Drosophila melanogaster: one gene and its partners. The gene in region 4 interacts genetically with the main gene of each other region. Each region holds a gene or a part of one and is shown on either strand. Other genes may lie near its edges. The genes, in order: dve, Pink1, park and Trap1.

Region 1 (4,680 bases), about 16 Mb from region 4:
AGGCGGCGGCCACAACAACAACAACAGGGCCACAAAGATGACAAACAGTTTGGACATTTATGAGCGGCATTTAATGGACATTTGACTACCGGAATTTAACGAAACCGAAAACGTGGGAAGGCAGACGGGGAAGCCGACAGAGGGGCAGACGGGCAGGGCCAGAAGAAAGGGCGAAGAATGCATTTGATTGGAGCTGCGATTCGATGCGCGGCCGGATTAACCCCGATTACCATTAGTCTTGGTGCGAGAGATCGCTGGGGAAAACGAGGCAGAGGTAATGAAACGACTATTCGATGATCACGAGCACGGTGAGCAGGAAGCAGCGGCGAAGAAGATTTCAATTAATAAATATTCCATTATCTGACTCCTAAGGCTGTCCCCGCCCATCCCCCATTCACAAACGACTAACACTTTCAGATTAGACAAAATCGAACCATTTATAATTTATAAGACGGCCTATCTGGCTGCTCAAAAGGCGGCCAGGTGATCTAACCGGGTGTGAAGAGACGGCATTATCTGTTGGCCGCGTTCGATTTCGATATTACGCCCTTAGAAAAACCCCGAAATGAAATTATCACAACAATAAAGCTAAATGCTTTATAATTAGTTTGGCCGGGCCAACAAAAAATTCGACTCACACTCGCACAATATGATTTGCCATAGTTTTGAAAGAATTCACATTTATTTATGCCCCTTCTGACCATTCTGGTTTATTATCTGACTCTCGAGCAACTTACGCCGTCTTATCTTAATCCCATTCACTAAGCATATGCGTCGACACATAAAACTGTCAAAAAATAAAAAAGAAAACGAATGGTTCTAAAGCCGAAGTTTCGAATGCTCTAGCCTAGATCGATTCTGATCTAATCGATATAAAATTTTTCAAAACTATTGCATCATCACATTCGTCGTAGCAAACTTAGAGGAAGTTACATTTATCGGAAACATGCAAAGATTTTGCAATTACCATTGCCACGTGGACGTACATAGAACAAAAAACAATCCCTGTGGACCTATTTAAATTGCTGGAAGCACTGCTAGGTTCTACAAATATGGTAATCTCAATCGATCTCTTAAAAAAATGTAAGTATTCCCAATGGCTAGGGTATACGAAATAACTCTAAGCTGTTTGTTTTCGAAGCCATCACAGATTTGGCCAGTACAATAACTCTTGTGGCATGATTTCGGCTTAAAGACAATGACGGTGGGTCCCTCGCGAGATTGGGATTTTTTAAATATACAACATAGAGATGTTTTCGAAACCGATTGGAAATAAAATTCATAAATTCTTGGATTAGTCACCCCCCGTTTTCGGCGTTTGGGTAACCGATTCCAATGGGTTGAGCGCCAAAGGCAGAAGTCATACCGCAGAGCCAGATAAATAATAATTACACTCACACAACATAATCAATTATGTCTGCTAATAAACCACACACACACATGCAGGCACACACCCAGATATCTGGACATGTGTATGAGTGATCCCCCACTTTTTCCAGAGAGGGAGTTGGGCTGGACTAATCACGCCAGCATGTTCATAATCAATTTTATCGCACTTATTTGGATTAATTGCGATATCAGTGACAGGGGCGTTCGATTCTGATAAAAATAAGAGCGGCGCGCACAGAGATGACGCGACATGCACTCTATGAGCTGGGGGCGCTAACGCTCCCCACCGCCAGTATCCCCACCCCGTTAGCCACATTCGATATCTAAGTTCGTCATCGCCTTATGCCGAATTTACCAGCGTTTGACAAAATTACCGTCGGGATTATCTTATCTGGCTGGCAAAAGCTCTGGCGGAGAACCCAGAACTCGGAACTTAGCCCCAGTTCCCAGTTTTCCCCTTTGGGGATCGGCTTTACAATGCAATTAGTGGGCACACCGAACGGGGAAAGGTAAACAGTTGGGTGCGGGGTGCTGGCGGACTTATCGCAGCACCGATCTCGAAAATCTCAGCCGATAAGGATTATCTTAATCTGCATAAATAGCGAAACGAGCGCATATCTACACGGCCCTTATCACTACAGCTTGGCCATATGTCGTTTGGCCGATTTTGTTTGCACTCAACTGATTCATTTGGCAATGGGAGGGCTGTAAAAGTGGGGGATAGCCAGGGTATCTGACTAATGGCTGTGTGAAGTGCCGCCGGCAAAGCGATCTCGCCGTGCGATGATGAAATTTCTCCGTATGACGAAATCTTCGTGATGCGGATGATATCTCTGCAAATTTGAAGGCTCAACTCACCTGCTGACCGGCATTGGCTGCCACCCAGGCTTCGGCAAAGGTTTCCATGGCGCTCTGGAAGTCCATCTCGCTGGCGATTCAAAGTTCTAATCACTGAGTCTGCAGTTCACGTATTTTATTTATGGCCAGATGCAGGCGCTTTGGCATTAATTGCAATTTGGATGGTTCGCTGTGATTTTTGTTTGATTGCAATTTGTCACCGCGATAAGGGGAGCTCGATTTCGAATTCGATCGGGGGAAGGTGTATTTCTTGATTCGATTTGATTTGATTTAATTTGATGTGATTTTTCTATTTATTTCTTATTTGAGTAGCGCGGATACGCAAATTAGACACAGGCACACACACGCGCGCAACCGCACACACGCTCAGGTGAAACGCGCGTTTCCTTCGTGGAACGGATTCGATGACTCTAGTTCCAGATGCTGCACTTCCAATTGCTCCAGGGGCTCTTCTTGCTGTTGTTGTTGCTGTTGGGGGCGACGCGACATCATTAGTGCCATGAAATCGGGAGCTGATCGCGTCACTGCGTCACCAGGATTGGCAGCGTATCGAATTTGGCGAATGCGACAATCGCAAATCCAGCCAACCGTTGAGGTTGAGGCGTTCAGGCTGTCTGGCTGTCCGCCTGTCTGGTTTCTCCGGCAGATGGCGTGCCGAATCCTTGGGCTCCTGCTCCTGACTGACTGATCTGGCTCTCTGGACTCTCTTCGCAGGGTATCGCAGGGTGTTAGTAAGCGGACGCGCGTCAAGACATCCTCTCTTGGCCAAAGTTGTCGCACAACTGACGGCATTCCTTCGCCTTCGCACATTCGCCGGTGTGCCGGTGCTCGGTGTTTGGCATTCGGTCTCTTTCGGCCGACGGTCTTCGGTCTCGTTCTCGCCCTCCCCCAGCCAGCACCCACCCCCCTTTCAACCGTGGTCCTCTCACGCGGCTCCATTTGCCGCCAGTCCATGTGTACTGGTGTGTGAGTCAAAGAGACAACGACCGCGCTCTCCCACTTGTATTTGTATTTGTGTGAGTGGGGAGAGAGAACGTAACAAAAAGTAGTAGGCTCTGAAAAGGTAGTAAAACTATGAGTTAGCTGAGCTCTTATGAATGGGGCTCTAATTAAAAGGATTAGATTAAAATCAATATATTTATTATATTAAATATAACGAAAGGAAAAATATAAATGCTGTAAATTTTATATTTGTTATAAGAGTAACCCACTTTGCTTAGAATAAGAACAAGTGGCGCTTTTCTTAGTAAATTAAAAATAAAAAATGTTAAAAAGACCACCAAATTTTAGAAAGCTAAATTTACTTTATATGTCACGTTATTTTCTTCAAAATGTAAATTTCTTTAGAACTGATAAGAATTTTTGCTTACCAACACTTTCCCACAGTATCATCTTGTTAAAATATTGAAATGATGCCAAAGCGTAGTAGAAATACTGCGAAATTTCGTTCTGGTTAGCGAGGCAAACAAACAGCTCTGCGTGTGTGCGTCAGTGAGTGACCAAAACAAAGCACACGCACAGGGACAGAGAGAGAAAAGAGAGTAGCTATGCAGAGAGCGACTTTCTCTCACACACACACAGGAACAGTGGGTAAACCTGTTCCGGCGCACAATTGCACTTGTCGTCGCCGCAGCCTTCGCCCAACCCGCCTAAAACCCCCTCCCCCGACAAACACTTGCTCATTCGGCTGCGCGTTTTCTTTTATTTTTTGTGCGCTGTGGCGAAACTGAATGGATTTGCTGCAAATTCGGGTGGAATTATGCCGCACACACACAGCCACATATCCCTACACCGTGTAGAGTGGGCGTGGGCGTGAACTACGACGGTGCGGGTGCGAGCAGTGCGGCAATAGGTTCGGGCATTCGGGATGAAAGAGTAAATCGGCATTGCTTATTCCTCTCGATGGGCGGTGGGTGGTCGGGGGGCTACACCCACTCGGCATTTAGCACCTCCGTGAATGGCGACGGCCTTCGTTGAGGATTCGTGAGTTCACGGCACGAAGTGGATTTCGCCGAGGGGCGGGATGGGTGGTGCCCCCGGAAAATAAGAGATAAGAGCGCAGATAATGCGCGCGCATTACATGTGATTAGGTGTCCGGGCTGCAGGATTTAGCCAACCGCGTCCAAGTATATGGTAAATAGGATTTCTATGTAGCAGCACTAGTAGGAGAAACACTGCGCCGAGAAAAAGATGGAAATAGGGTGGAGTTACAGTGGGCTTGGTAATTAGTACAGGATTTCATATCCGTTTTCAGAAAACTCAACCGAAAAAAGACTGCCTCTTTTTCTCTTATAGTTTCTAAAAAACAACTATAATTATTTATACAAATTAAATAACTGCTATATACCAAAACATAAAAATACATAAAAATCCTTGATCTGGATATGTTTATCCCACGATATCCTCAGTTTTCATCCAGTTCCTGAATGCGCA
Region 2 (5,814 bases), on a different chromosome or scaffold from region 4:
GGGCAAGGAGAATGGCAAGTTTCGTACGGAGAAGGACACCTTCGGGGAGCTAAAGGTGCCGGCGGACAAGCTGTACGGCGCACAGACGATGCGCTCCAAATTGAATTTTCCCATTGGCGACATAGGCGAACGTATGCCGGTAGGCAACCAACCAACCAACCAACATATTCTGGCATCTACCAAGTGCTTTGCCATAGCCAATTAATCCCCAAACTGCCCGCAGATGCCGGTGATCCAGGCCATGGGCATACTGAAGAAGGCATGTGCCGAGGTCAACAAGGATTACGGACTAGATGGCAAGGTGTCGGATGCCGTATCCTGCGCCTGCGACGATGTCATTTCCGGCAAGCTATACAAACAGGGTCACTTCCCATTGGTCATCTGGCAAACCGGTTCGGGCACCCAGACCAATATGAACACCAACGAGGTAAGATTGTTAGATAGGGCTAACGAGAGAAATGTGTATAGCTGGATGCTTCTCCTGCCCCATGCCATTGGCAAACCTACTAGGTGATCAGCAATGCGGCCATTAAGATGATGGGCGGCGAACTGGGCAGCAAGAAGCCGGTGCATCCCAACGATCATGTGAACAAGTCGCAGAGCTCCAACGACACCTTCCCCACGGCCATTCACATTTCGGTGGGCATGGAGCTGAACGAGCGGCTTGTTCCGGCGGTTACACACTTGAGGGATGCCCTCAAGTCCAAGTCGGATGAGTTCAAGGACATCATCAAGATCGGACGCACCCACTTGATGGACGCAGTTCCGCTGACTTTGGGCCAGGAATTCAGCGGTTATACACAGCAGTTGACCAACGGTCTGGAAAGGATCAAGGGCTGTCTGCCGCGCGTCTATGAGCTGGCTCTGGGCGGCACTGCTGTGGGTACGGGTCTGAACACACGCAAGGGATTCGCCGAGAAGGTGGCCAAGCGCATTTCGGAGCTAACCTGCTTGCCCTTCGTGTCGGCGCCCAACAAGTTCGAGGCACTGGCTGCCCGCGATGCCATGGTGGAGGTGCATGGTGTGCTCAACACGATCGCCGTCAGCCTGATGAAGATCGCCAACGATATCCGATTGCTGGGATCGGGTCCGCGTTGCGGTCTGGGCGAACTAATGCTGCCGGAGAACGAGCCCGGTAGCTCCATCATGCCCGGCAAGGTGAATCCCACGCAATGCGAATCAATGACCATGCTGTGTGCCCAGGTGATGGGCAATCAGGTGGCGGTGACCATCGGCGGCTCCAACGGGCACTTCGAGCTAAATGTATTCAAACCCCTGGTCGTGTCCAATGTGCTGCGCTCCATTCGCTTGTTGGGTGAGTCGGAAATGTGTTTTCCAAGTGGAAAAACATGCATACATAACCTTCTCCTCCCAGCTGATGGCAGCATGACCTTCAGCAAGAACTGCGTGGAGGGACTGCAGGCCAACAAGGAGAGGATCGACAAGATCATGAACGAGTCCTTGATGCTGGTGACCGCGCTGAATCCGCACATTGGCTATGACAAGGCCGCCCTGATCGCCAAGACGGCGCACAAGAATAAGACGACCTTGAAGGAGGAGGCACTGAAGACCGGAATTACCGAAGAGCAGTTCAAGGAGTGGGTCAATCCCAAGGAGATGCTGGGACCGAAGTGATTCGCTGTGCGGCTATTGACGATTTTGTTTTAGTTTCGTGTAATAAATTTTTGTGTGTAGCAGGATATTTCAATAGATTGTATTAATTTGTTGATTTTACGGCAGGTGAATAACGGTTTTTAGTTTTTGAATTCTCCAAATGATTCGAGTCCACACTACGCGATAGTCATTATCGATTCTAAAGATATACCGTAAGTGTGGTCACACTAACGCCTTGCTGTTTCTAAATTATTCCGTTGTTTTTATCGTAAATTCTTGCACACTTAGCTATTATTTTATAGCGAAATATAAGCAAAGCAAGCTTTTAAACAAGTGTTTATTGCGGCGCACATTTTCCGTGACAAATGAAAAGATCCAGCTGACCAGCGATTATCTAACGACCAAATCGAATCGAAACGAAACGTTGAAGTAGGCGCATTACATTAAAAATTGGCTGCCAGGCAAGTTGGAGGTCGTAAATTAATCGTTTTGTTCAGTTGAAAATAGCCCAAAATCAGTCTAGCCCACACAGATATCGAAAAAGGCGATATATCTTTGGATAATCATTGCAAAAATAAACCCTTTCGATTCGACGATTTCGCCTTGTAGTTCTGCCACCACCGCCCCCACACTTCGCCCCGCAGCTGCACCACAACCACCACCACCCACAAACAGAAAATTTATTTGCGACGCAAAAACAAAACAATCGAATCGAAACGAACCGAACCGAAACGAAACGACAGCAGCTGTTTGGTTATAAATCGGCGCTATCGATCGCACACATGAGCAAAATTGGCGGAGAAGAAGAGGAAGCAGCAGCAAGAGTTAAGCACCACAAATCTTAAAGAATAGGTAAAAATTAAAAATTAAATTAATAGATGACAGACCGTTTAAGGTGCTTCATTCAGTTGCAGGCACTAGGAGCCGAGGTCTTTGCGGGCCGAAAGATGTCTGTGAGACTGCTGACCGTGCGACTGATCAAACATGGTCGCTACATTTTGCGCAGCTATTGTAAACGTGATATACACGCCAACATTTTGGACCAGAATCAATTGAAGACAAGAAGCAAGCGAGGCTTTCCCCTACCCTCCACCGCTGCCAATGTGCTGCGGGTAAGTCAAGCTAAACGGATGATCAAGGCATGTCCAATTAACCCGCATCCAATCTCTTCGCCAGACAACGCCCCAGCAGGCGGCCAAATCGGTGGTCAATGTAGTGCCCCGCACCATCAACTCCCCGTCGGGATCACCGTTTAATGGCAGCGGCAGTAGCCCCACCAGCAGCAGTGGAATCTTCCGAGTGGGCCAGCATGCGCGCAAATTGTTCATCGACAACATCCTCAGCCGGGTGACCACCACCTACTCGGAGGATCTGCGCCAGCGCGCTACCCGCAAGCTATTCTTTGGCGATTCAGCGCCCTTCTTCGCCCTGATTGGCGTTAGTCTGGCCTCCGGATCGGGTGTGCTCAGCAAGGAGGATGAACTGGAGGGCGTGTGCTGGGAGATTCGGGAGGCAGCTAGCCGGCTGCAGAACGCCTGGAATCACGACGAGATCTCCGATACGCTAGACAGCAAGTTCACCATCGATGACTTGGAAATCGGTCCGCCCATAGCCAAAGGTTGTGCCGCTGTCGTCTATGCAGCGGATTTCAAGAAAGATGTTGCCTCGGATGGTGCATCCCTGCATACCGATGCGCAGCCGCAGGCAACGCCAGCCTTTGCGCCGAATAGCTGGAGTACCCACGAGATGATGTCGCCGCTGCAGAACATGTCGCGCTTTGTTCACAACTTTGGCGGCTCTGTGGACAACGTCTTCCACTACAGCCAGCCATCTGCGGCCAGTGATTTCGTGGGCGCCCAGTCGAGGGAACAGGACCAGCGGCACCACGAGCAACAGCAGCATCAGAATCAGGAACAAGAGCAGCATCAGAACCAGGAGCCCAGCAGCAGTGCCTTCAATGTGGTAAATATGTAAGCTTAAATCTGCATGGCAACTTGCCATCACGCTCTTTGCTTTAACTTGCAGACTTCTCCAGCGAATTCAAACATCAACAGCTCTGTGGACAGTTATCCACTGGCACTCAAAATGATGTTCAACTACGACATCCAGAGCAACGCTCTGTCCATACTGCGTGCCATGTACAAGGAGACGGTACCGGCACGCCAGCGCGGCATGAATGAGGCCGCCGATGAGTGGGAACGTTTGCTGCAGAATCAAACTGTTCACCTGCCGCGGCATCCGAACATTGTCTGTATGTTTGGCTTCTTTTGCGACGAGGTGCGCAACTTTCCCGATGGCCATCTCCTGTATCCGGTGGCGCAGCCGCAACGCATCAATCCACAGGGCTATGGCCGCAATATGTCGCTGTATCTGCTGATGAAACGCTACGATCACAGTCTTCGCGGCCTGCTCGATAGCCAGGATCTGAGCACGCGCAATCGCATCCTGCTGCTGGCTCAAATGCTCGAGGCTGTCAACCATTTGAGCCGTCACGGCGTTGCCCATCGTGACCTAAAGTCTGATAATGTGCTAATCGAGCTGCAGGACGATGCGGCGCCGGTGCTAGTGCTCTCCGACTTTGGCTGTTGTCTGGCGGACAAGGTGCATGGCCTGCGCCTGCCGTACGTTTCGCACGACGTCGACAAGGGCGGCAATGCGGCGTTGATGGCGCCAGAGATCTTCAATACGATGCCCGGTCCGTTTGCCGTACTCAATTATGGCAAGGCCGATCTGTGGGCTTGCGGTGCCCTGGCTTACGAAATCTTTGGCAACCGCAATCCGTTCTATTCGAGCAGCGGTGGGATGGCGCGCGAACGCGGTGAGATGACGCTTTCGCTGAGGAACAGCGATTACCGACAGGACCAATTGCCGCCAATGAGCGATGCTTGCCCGCCGCTGCTGCAACAGCTGGTCTACAACATCCTCAATCCCAACCCGTCCAAGCGGGTCAGTCCGGATATTGCGGCAAATGTGGTGCAGCTGTTCCTCTGGGCCCCATCCAATTGGCTTAAGGCGGGCGGCATGCCCAACAGTCCGGAGGTGGGTCGCAGTGTTTGATACCACATCAGCATCCTTTTAAGCTAATTATGATTTTTTTTTACAGATCCTACAGTGGCTCCTTTCGCTGACCACTAAGATTATGTGCGAGGGTCGTCCACAGATGGGCGCCGGATTGATGCCAGTGGCCAGCTGTGGCAATAGGCGCGCCTATGTGGAGTACCTGCTCATATGCAGCTTTCTGGCACGCGCCCGGCTGCGTCGCATTCGCGGCGCCCTCAACTGGATCCAGAATGTGGTGGCGTAGGAGAAAAGCCTTCTACTTGTTACTCTGAGAAAATCAAATGGAAAAGCGTGTGATACCTATATTTTACATATGTATTTATAAATGAAATCAAAATTAACGCCAAAAGCACGCCTCCGGTACAATAATTATTGACCCTCCTGATCTTTCTGATTCTTCAGCTTCTGCATTTTCGCCACCAGCGCCTCCTGTTTGACCAAACTCCTGTCGAGCTTTTCCATCACCTGCCTGATCATAATTTGGAGTTCCGCAAGATGTTTCTCCCAGGCCACATTCTGCTCCTCCAGCTCGATAAGCTTATAGAGATTGGCCTCGTTTGAGTCTTCGATGTTGTCTATAGCCTGATCCAGGCTATCCTCGGCGTCCAACTTGTTTGGATTTTGTGGGGGATGCTGTGCGGAGTAGAATGAGGAGTTTATAAAGTTAGCAGGATCTCTACGTTTAGTACTTACCATAACTAAACAGTTCAAGTTCATTCACTTCTCTGAATTCGCAAACTTCGAATGAAAATGCGCTGACAGAACTTACGATAACCGCACCAGGGCTGAGCCGATTGCATGCGTTATCGATATCGCCTGCCAGGGATGTTGGCAGTTTAAAATTAGTTTTGGAAAACTTAGGATATCCCAAATGCCATGAACAATTCTGTTTTTTCCGCAAACTATTATACAAACTATAGATAGTTGAAAAACATAAGCCAGCAAATGTTTATTTTTCTTTTAGTTTTTAGTCACATAACATAATATACAGATATCGAATTCATTTGTTAATATCCACGCGACTCACACACAACGTGTGATCATAAAAGGAGCAAGTGGCCATGGTCAAGGACGCATCGTCCTTGTTTCTCCATGGTGCCCAATCGGCCCCGTAGCAGATGCTCTTATGCTCCTCATAGG
Region 3 (4,510 bases), on a different chromosome or scaffold from region 4:
TTTCCTATATATAATTGCCTAAAATCTATTGATTTACAGATGTGTCCTAGGGCGGTTGCACATATGAATTATAAAACTGTATTAAAGTGAAATATTTAATTTTACGTATTAACGGCCAAAATTTAAGTTTCAGTTTCTTAATAATTTTCTCTTTTGTGTTTTCTCTCTTTAGCAAGAATAGTAGTTAGTACTTTTGAAAATCCAGGAACATTTTTGAAATGCCTTTACCATCCCCCAATCAATTATTAGTCCCCTTGCGGCTACGCGCCTGGGTTGAAATCACATGAACCTTGTGCCGCTGACCACCCACTGCGCATTCGCGGCACTCGCTCTCTGGCTGTTTGGCCAAATGCACGTGTTTGTTGCGGTTTTCGCATGCCTGGCCGAAGAGGAAAGCCCTCAAAATATTTGTGGGCGAGCTTAAAAAAAAACGTAAACAAAGTTTTTGTGCGCACGCAACAAAGGAACAGAGTGGGGTAGGATGTGATTCGCGTTGGTCCTTGTCAGGGGTGTTTCTGCTATTGATTGCGTAGACGACAAACAGGGTGTTGTTCGAGCAGTCTTTACTATGGTATACAATTTAAAAGTAGTCAACAAACAAAAAGGACCCGTCGGGCCGACGTACAACGATGACGAAGGATTAGCCGAACCAGTGGGCTCCCATGCAGTCGCGTGTCCACTCAGTCTGGCAGACCCAGCACCACTCGAATCCGCAGCCAGCGCGTGTGCAGACCATGTGCATGCAACCGCCTGGTAGGAAGAGAAGAAGACGGTATGGATGTGTTACAAACTGCGTCTTGGGTGTCTTCGATGCTCGCCCAACTCACCATCTCGCTCCGTGGGGGTTCTGCATTTTGGACAGGGCTTTGTGCTGACTTTGATGGTGACATTGCTGGCCTCATCCCATCGCGCCTCGGCAGCTCGCTAAAAAAGCACATGATTACACAAGCGGGAATGGGCCGTATAAGAGCCAACTCACATTTGGGTCCACGGTGTACTCGCAGGAGTTTGTGGCACTGGCGCCCGTCCCCTCGGGCAGACACTCCCCGATATGGTAGCCCTGCAGACAATTGCGGCAGAACACGTATCCACAGCCGTTCTGGCATGTCACCTTGCGACAATCGGGCTCCACCAAAAGGCCCATGCCGCATCCTGGCTGGGGGCAGAGTACTCCACCTGCCTGTAGGACATACTCCTCGGTGGCGAATCTCTGGTACCGATCGTACTCCTCGCGTGTCAACAGCTTGAAGTGATGAATCTCCTCGATGAACGAGTGCTCGCAGCCTGCGGGACAGGGCAAGGTGTAGCCGAAGTCCGGATGCGGCATAAACTGACGCTCGCCCAAACGGGAACGGCAATAATGGCGGAAGCAGTCGATACAGGTGACGTGCTGCGATGCGCAGGGGAAAACCAACACGGTATCACTGCGAACATAATAAGGTGATTATAGCAGAATAAAATTATATGACAAATAATTACTTTAAAGACTTTAAAAGAACTTTTTATGACATTTTCGATGATATGAAAATTATAAGAAATTAAGATGTTCCTTATTGCATAATCACCTCACATCCGTGCAGGCCAGGCAAGGAACATTCTTGATGTTATTCTTGATTAGATTCAATGGAGCCGCAAAATCCTTCTCCCCGCCGGAGACATGCTCAGCACACTTGAAGAAGAATTCAGCGAAGGGCGGATCGCCAGCCGCGTTGTCCACGCAGGCCACCTCCAGACTTTCACAATGACCGGGAATTCTACGCGACTTCAAGACATCATCCCAACACTCCGGATCACGATGGACAGTAAAGGCGCCGCCCTTGCATAAAGCGCAGCGGACCCGAAGTTTGCCATTACACAGCTTATCGCATTGGCTGCAATGTACAAAGAAATGCGCTTTGGCACGGACTCTTTCTGGAGAGGATACGACGGGATTACAAGGGGTTTCGTTAAAAAAAAAAAAAACAATAAAAACTAATTGTTGCCTACCTTCATCGGTTATATTCAGACGCTCCTCGCTTTCCAGCTGCAAGTCCAACAGAGTTTCATTTAGAGGCTTGGAGGCTTCATCGCTAAGCGAAGGTTCCTCCTCCTCCAAAGTGGCCGACTGGATTTTCTGGCGCTGCACGGGCGGTCGCAAACGAATGGCATGCAAAACGCTTTGCTGACCCAAGTCACATTGCTACTAGAAGACAGTAAAAGTTAACTTCATGTAGCGGATACATTAAAGAAACTTCTTACCTCTATTGTCGTGGCATCGCTTAGTTCCTTACCGGCAAATATGATCTTTAGATCATCCGGCTGAAGTCCCAATTGTGGTGCCACCAGTTCCTTTACGTTTTTAATATCCCACTGGGGCTCCAGATTAACGGTCAGCGTTTTGCCCGTGTTCGTTTTTACATAAATACTCAGCGTGTGCGTAAGGGTTTTCCCTCCAAATTGCAACAGCTCCAGCATTTTGCGTACAAAAGTGGCAATAAATTTAAAAATAAAACTCATTTGTTATCAGCTGATCGGGTTTAATTTTAGTGCAGTGTATATGCTTCAGTGTTGCCAATCGTTGTTTACTTACGCGTTGCCAAACACCAGCTGGCAGCCATTCGGAGGAAAACGTGGACACGCAGAAAGCGCACAATTGAAAACAATTTTTGTGAAGAAGTCGGAGGAGTATAAATGTAAAAGTTTTATGGAAATGTCAGGACTAACTTACAGAGAGATCAATGGCGACCTATTCAAATGCCAAAGGGATTATTCCATGTGCCACTGCGTGGCTGCCGATTTGCGAATGGGCAGAGGCATAGCTGTAAAGTTTCGGTAGGTAATGGCTTAGTGTTTTTAATAAAATGGTAAATTTGCCTATTTTCCAGAAACAAATTTGGACAGTTGTTGAATTTGCAGAGACAAAATGTTCAGCCAGGCGGCGTGGCTGTCCTTCAGGACCAGCAGCGATTTATTTACTATCTGATCACCAAGAAATCCAGCTGGGGAAAGCCCACCTACGAACTTCTCCAGAGTTCCTTGATCGCCATGCGAAAACACATGGTATGTTTATGTATCTTCTATAAGAAGTTATGATATACGAATCTTTCTACCATTTGCAGATCTCCCACCAAGTACCCAAGCTAGCCATGCCCCGCATTGGATGCGGTTTGGATGGCCTAAACTGGCCCAAAGTTAAGGAAATAATTTGCCAGGTTTTTCAAGCGGATTCTGTTGAGCTGGTCGTTTATAATTATGTTGCTATGAAGTAAATGGCTCATATTAAACTAAACGATCCATTATTTTCCCTGTGGAGGCACAAAATTGTAGACAACAATCTCCAGCGGCTCTTGGCCAAAAACGTACTCGAGGACTCCGCTGACTTTTTCCCATTCCAAGCCATCAATTCCGCAGCCAATTTTTGGGATGGCCAGCTTATTCACGTTGTTTTTGCGCTAATGTAGGAATAATAAAATGTAGCTCTTATTAATATAACTTGTCTAAGCTTTATATATATAATAAATAAAAGCAGGGATACATTCCATTCATAAAAGATATGTATCAGGCATGTATTTACCATATGCTCACGCATCTGCTCCAAAGATGCTTGTACAGATTCGTAGGTGGGCTTTCCCCAGCTCTGAGGCTTGGTTACTAGGTAGTAAATGTACCGCTGGTCATCCTTCAGCACCGCAATATCTCCACTGCCCGCTTGTTGGGCTTGCAGCTCGTCCAACCTTCCGAATACCTTCTTGAACTGCACGGCAATTCCAGCACCCATCGCAAGATCTGCGCCCACACAGTGCGCCAAGGAATAGGTCTTGGGGGCGGAAAACAGATCCCCATCCACTTCGCTTAGGGTGTACTGAGGTTTGGATGACATTCCGACTACAAAAGCTCGCCGAAATGCGCTACGTAGTTCTAGAAGTTTGGGAGAATACATTTAGTTTAAATAAGGGTTTTAGATCTGTCTGACTTAGTGTAACAGGCAGCTACTAGATTAATTTTTGGTCATACGATAACACTAGATAATGGTTCGTAAGGGTATATATATGTATTTATCAAAACTCCAATCTTTGGTTAATATCCTCTCGAGGACGTGTTTTATTTATTAATACATTAAATACAGTATAAATAACCAAATATGGAAACTTTGTGTGCTATAAAAACCTCTTAGGTGTATCGTTCTTATCAACTATATAAGTATTTGGTGCATATGATGCCACAAGTCCCAAGCAAAACCATTTCGAGTGTCAAACAAAGATGGCTATATACATTAAAAGGGAGTCTTTTCGCGATGAAGCGAATTTCTTGATCCACTAACGGACCTCGATGGCAAATGGATGGTCTTCATGTGCCGGCAGGTGGGACAAACCACGTTCAACGTGTCCTTAACCATTTGTGGCGGTGTGTAGAAGAATGCAATTATGTCCACGCTATCCTCGGCGAAAACCAGATCCAGCAGACTCCGCACGCGCAACCAATCCAAACGGTCGATGCCGCATCCAAGTCTGGGAATGGCCAACTTGGTCAC
Region 4 (4,880 bases):
CCATCGTACGTTTGCTCCCATGACCAAATATCGCCACAACGTGCGGTTGGAGGCCAAGAGTGCATGATTCTCCTGATGAAAGCTGAGTGTACGGACTAGCTGGACAATCTGAAGCACTCGCTGGCCCATGCGCTCATCAGTCCCGTTGCTCCGGCGCAGATTAAGGAAGTGCAACTCGTCGCAGGCCGCCAGCAGTTCACTTCGAGCGGCAGAGTTCTCACCGTCCTCCTTACTTATCAGACCGTTGTCCAGCCAGGCCTGCTCATCCGTGTAGAGCTCTAGGACCTGTGGCTTGTCGTGTAGCAGGTCGCGCCAGAAACTGAGCTGCGAATGGTGTCGAACCTCGGTGTAACTGTGCTGGAACAGCTGGCGCATGGTGAAGTCAGCGTAGACTCCCAGGTGAGCAAGCAGCACATCAAGCAGTTTGGGGCACTCGGACAGCTGTAGGGTGTGGCGCGCCTCGTTGGCCATAAGTGTGCACACGTTTATGGCGAAGTCCTGCTCATTGGGCAGCGGAGAAAGCAGAGACAACAGCAGCTTCTCGTAGCTGCTGTGTCGGTGCAACTGCGTGGACATCTTGTACTGTCGGCGTCGTTCCACATTAACAGAGTGCTGGCGCTGGTTGTAGGCCATTGGCACCGCCGGCAACGTAGAGTGTGCTGATCCAAAAATGCTTCCTAGGCCACCACCGGCGCCAGCCAAAAAACGAGATCGCGAGCGTCCACCGCCCATTTCTACAATCTCAATAGCCGCCTCCAGAGCCTCCATCTTGTCTGGATCCTCGCCAAAGAAGTTCAACCGTTCGTACTTGTCCAGGTAGCGTCTGTAGATGTGCTTGATACTAGCCGTTCCGTTAACGCAGCGCTCCCGCAATGTCTCCATGGCGCTGTACACCTCGTCCCACTCGTCCCGCATGGTCACCTTATTAAAGCCGCCTCGTTCGGTTACCTCGTTGTACAGCTTGTACAGGTCGACATGCTTACCGCTGATCCTGGCGGGCTGTGTCAATGGAGTGCTGTTTGGGCAGAGGGAAAGTGGGTTAGGTCGTCTCCAAATACAGGAGAGCCGCGGCAACTCACCCGCGTCGTTCGTGAAACTGCTGCAGGTCCCTCCAGAACTCCTCCGGAGGTGACGGCGGCATCTCCTCGACCTTCTCCGGCATGATCTGTAATTGGGCGGGATTCTTGGCGCGAAGGGGAGTCGCTGGGGCCGCAATCTTGCCCGGCGTCTGTAGATCGCCCGGCTGAGTGGCGCTGTTTACGGCGGCAGCAGGCAGCGACTGAAGCAGCACCCGTACGTTGTCGATGGTGGTGGCGCTCATGATTGGATCTTTTTGTGTGGTGGCGTGAATGGGAAACACTTAACACATGATATTCTAATAGTAAGACACGCAGATGCTAATTAAAATTATTTAAAAAACTCAACAAAAATTACAACGCGACGCTGACGCGCTACAGCAGAGTTGCATTCACGAGCAGGGCTGTCAGCAATTGGACCGTATATCGATATGAGGTATCGATGTCTTTCAATATTGGATTTGATTTAACTTTCTTTTATTTACTGTCTTCTTTGAAGACATTTGTTATTTCATAACTCAAAAATCAGCATCCAATCTACATTGGCTAAACAATGAAACGTAATCTGTTCTTAATTCCTTCAGAATTTACGGTTTGTTGTTCACAGTTGAAACATCTCTATCTCTCTCTCTCTCTCTTGCTGATCGAAATCTTTAGAGAACTAGTCAGCTGGCAGTTTGCTTCAGTTTTGAGCTGAATAATGTGATGAAACTGAACTCTCCATTACATGTAGTAACTCTTATTCAAACCAACTAAGCATTTGAGTCCAAAATTCATTACAGCCCAGAAATTTGGAAGAAAACACCGTTATGAGTAGGGTTTTACCAGTTTACTATTATCGAATACTTACAATCGATTGATTTGGCTACACTGTGCACACATGTGCGCTGGAACAAACTTCGTAGTTGGGTAACATTAAAGTTGGGCAAAACATTAAAACAACAAGATGTCTGTACGAGCGATGGGAGTGCTGGGCCAGGCGTGCCGCCTCGGTCGCTGTGCCCAAGTGTTGAGGCAGAGTCACCGATCCGCCCCAGCAGCGTTCAATATCACCATTGGATCGCAGCATTCGCCGGGTGGTAAGCACTGAATATAAGCAACCGGCTCCCCGGAGGGATTCTTATGTTTACATAACACTCATCTTTTCACTTGCAGCTCTCTCGCTCCGTCGCTACTCCACGGAGACCAAGCAGGCATCAGGATCAGTGGTGGACAAGCATGAGTTCCAGGCAGAGACGCGCCAGCTACTTGACATTGTGGCTCGTTCCTTATACTCCGACCACGAGGTCTTTGTGCGCGAGCTTATTTCGAATGCAAGCGATGCGCTGGAGAAATTTCGGTACACCTCGTTGAGCGCTGGAGGCGAGAATCTGGCTGGAAAGGACCGGCCTCTGGAGATTCGTATCACCACCGACAAGCCACTGATGCAGCTAATCATCCAGGACACGGGCATCGGCATGACCAAGGAGGAGCTGGTCAGCAACCTGGGCACCATTGCACGCAGCGGCTCGAAGAAGTTCCTGGAGCAGATGAAGGGGACCCAGCAGGGAGCCAGCTCGGAGGCATCCTCGAACATTATTGGTCAGTTCGGCGTGGGCTTTTACTCTTCCTTCATTGTCGCCAATAAGGTGGAGGTGTTCACGAGGGCGGCTGTGCCTAATGCACCCGGACTGCGTTGGTCCACGGATGGCAGTGGAACCTACGAGATCGAAGAGGTGCCTGACGTTGAGTTGGGAACGCGAATCGTGCTTCATTTAAAGACCGATTGCCGTGAATATGCGGACGAGGAGAGGATCAAGGCGGTAATCAAGAAATACAGCAACTTTGTGGGCTCACCCATCTTGCTTAACGGAAAGCAGGCCAATGAGATCAAGCCTCTGTGGCTTCTTGAGCCACAAAGCATCAGCAAGGAGCAGCACCATGACTTCTATCGGTTCATTAGCAATAGCTTCGATGTCCCGCGCTTCACCTTACACTATAATGCTGACGTACCCTTGAGCATCCATGCACTGCTCTACTTCCCCGAAGGAAAGCCTGGTTTATTCGAGATGTCTCGGGACGGAAACACCGGTGTGGCTCTTTACACCCGCAAGGTGCTTATTCAGTCCAAGACTGAGCATCTGCTGCCCAAGTGGCTGCGTTTTGTAAAGGGTGTTGTCGACTCTGAGGACATTCCACTCAACCTGAGTCGCGAGCTGCTCCAGAACAGCAGCCTGATTCGCAAACTGTCCAGTGTGATTTCCACCCGCGTTATCCGTTTCCTGCAAGAGCGGTCCAAGAAGCAGCCAGAAGAGTACGAGGCCTTCTACCGGGACTATGGGCTTTTCCTGAAGGAAGGAATTGTAACCTCCAGCGACGCCTCCGAGAAAGAAGAAATAGCTAAACTTCTGCGTTTTGAATCCTCCAAGTCGGAGACCGCCAGTGGGCGCATGTCGCTGGAGGAGTACTACAACGCCGTTCCCGCAGAACAGCAGAATATTTACTACTTGGCAGCACCCAACCGCGTTCTTGCCGAGTCCTCGCCCTACTACGAGAGTCTGAAGAAGCGCAACGAGCTGGTGCTCTTCTGCTACGAACCCTATGATGAGCTGGTGCTCATGCAGCTGGGCAAGTTCAAAAGCAAAAAACTCGTTTCCGTGGAGAAGGAGATGCGCGAAGAGTCCAAGGAGACAACAGCGACCACCGACTTTGGCGAGGGCAGTCTGCTGCGCTCAGAGCTCGACACTTTGATTCCCTGGCTGGAGGAGGAGCTCAGGGGGCAGGTTATTAAAGTAAAAGCCACCACTCGTCTAGACACCCATCCCTGTGTAATCACCGTAGAGGAAATGGCTGCCGCTCGCCACTTCATTCGCACCCAGAGTCACCAGGTGCCAGAACAGAATCGATTTGCCCTGCTTCAACCAGAACTGGAGATCAACCCAAAGTGAGTCCTGCTCCTCACGTTTCTTTCGTTGCTTTCTTATTTTGCATTTTTCCTTACCTTAGGCACCCCATCATCAAGAAGCTTAACAAGCTCCGTGAGAGCGACAAGGATCTGGCCCAACTTATCGCCAAGCAGCTCTTTGCAAACGCAATGGTGGGCGCCGGTTTGGCTGAGGATCCCCGCATGCTGCTAACCAACATGAACACTCTGCTATCGCGGGCCCTGGAGAAATACTAGAGTGCGCCGTAGAAGGAACAGTGTAGATATACCGACTATGTAATATTAATTTCTATAATTAATTTCATAAAACGTGTTGAAATAGTTTTAAATATGTATAATTAAACGTTTTAAATATTTTAATTCCAAAAATGAAGGGGAATATAATTTTTTCGGGCTTAATTTTAACTTTGTGTGCCTAGTGTGTGCACAATAATGGGGCTTACACTAGGCATTTTATACAAAGAGTTTTTGCATAAACGTATTCTTTGTTCAAAAGCTCCATAGAAACCAATATTTCTAAAAAAAAGTGTAAATAAAATATGAATTTGTTACATTATACGTACTATAAAAAACGTTTTGTAAGCTATTTTATAATAGCTAATACCGTTCTTGGGACCCATTTAGTTCGAGCAATTGAATTTTTCTATGGTACAAAAAGATGTTTTCCATACAAGTTCATGAACGAATTGACCAAGCTATCAGAAATATAAAATAAAATATTAATTTTGATGTGCTTATGTTCTTCAATTTCGTGCATCCTTTTAAAATCGGTGTGAAAGCAATGCTTTAATTGTATTGGCTCTAGTGGAAACATTGTTAGTGCATTTTGACGTCCATCAGGTGGCAGCGCTGGCACAACTATCGCCGAAAATCCGCCCCCG

Evidence for each region.
Region 1: of Trap1 (region 4) and dve, changing one suppresses a phenotype caused by changing the other (phenotypic suppression), as found in Drosophila melanogaster (one study listed by BioGRID).
Region 2: of Trap1 (region 4) and Pink1, changing one suppresses a phenotype caused by changing the other (phenotypic suppression), as found in Drosophila melanogaster (2 studies listed by BioGRID).
Region 3: of Trap1 (region 4) and park, changing one suppresses a phenotype caused by changing the other (phenotypic suppression), as found in Drosophila melanogaster (one study listed by BioGRID).

What each region holds. Positions count from the first base shown.
Region 1 is NT_033778.4:22,242,315-22,246,994, reverse strand, and holds the start of dve (defective proventriculus), read right to left. Parts: upstream 3,033-4,680; 5' UTR 2,314-3,032; coding exon 2,248-2,313; intron 1-2,247.
Region 2 is NC_004354.4:6,681,996-6,687,809, forward strand, and holds Pink1 (PTEN-induced putative kinase 1), read left to right. Parts: upstream 1-1,845; 5' UTR 1,846-2,075; exon of another isoform or gene 2,076-2,132; 5' UTR 2,133-2,466; intron 2,467-2,522; 5' UTR 2,523-2,561; coding exon 2,562-2,726; intron 2,727-2,790; coding exon 2,791-3,576; intron 3,577-3,639; coding exon 3,640-4,653; intron 4,654-4,717; coding exon 4,718-4,918; 3' UTR 4,919-5,043; downstream 5,044-5,814. Other genes in the region: Fum2 (fumarase 2), read left to right, coding at 1-139, 224-427, 511-1,315, 1,376-1,635; CG44303 (uncharacterized protein), read right to left, coding at 5,044-5,307, 5,368-5,370; CG3184 (uncharacterized protein), read right to left, coding at 5,675-5,814.
Region 3 is NT_037436.4:21,194,207-21,198,716, forward strand, and holds park (parkin), read right to left. Parts: upstream 2,648-4,510; 5' UTR 2,570-2,647; intron 2,564-2,569; exon of another isoform or gene 2,507-2,563; 5' UTR 2,497-2,506; coding exon 2,239-2,496; intron 2,180-2,238; coding exon 1,987-2,179; intron 1,931-1,986; exon of another isoform or gene 1,912-1,930; coding exon 1,566-1,911; intron 1,441-1,565; exon of another isoform or gene 1,425-1,440; coding exon 980-1,424; exon of another isoform or gene 925-979; coding exon 828-924; exon of another isoform or gene 751-827; coding exon 641-750; 3' UTR 548-640; downstream 1-547. Other genes in the region: Targ3 (terminal ADP-ribose protein glycohydrolase 3), read left to right, coding at 2,690-2,811, 2,865-3,039, 3,099-3,248; Targ1 (terminal ADP-ribose protein glycohydrolase 1), read right to left, coding at 3,254-3,284, 3,343-3,431, 3,554-3,919; Targ2 (terminal ADP-ribose protein glycohydrolase 2), read right to left, coding at 4,253-4,510. UniProt on the Drosophila melanogaster protein: E3 ubiquitin-protein ligase which accepts ubiquitin from E2 ubiquitin-conjugating enzymes in the form of a thioester and then directly transfers the ubiquitin to targeted substrates, such as Paris, Marf, Opa1, Miro, pnut, Septin1, Tom20 and porin.
Region 4 is NT_033778.4:6,633,130-6,638,009, reverse strand, and holds Trap1 (Trap1), read left to right. Parts: upstream 1-1,747; 5' UTR 1,748-2,022; coding exon 2,023-2,155; intron 2,156-2,231; coding exon 2,232-3,999; intron 4,000-4,061; coding exon 4,062-4,236; 3' UTR 4,237-4,363; downstream 4,364-4,880. Other genes in the region: Bap170 (brahma associated protein 170kD), read right to left, coding at 1-1,015, 1,080-1,321.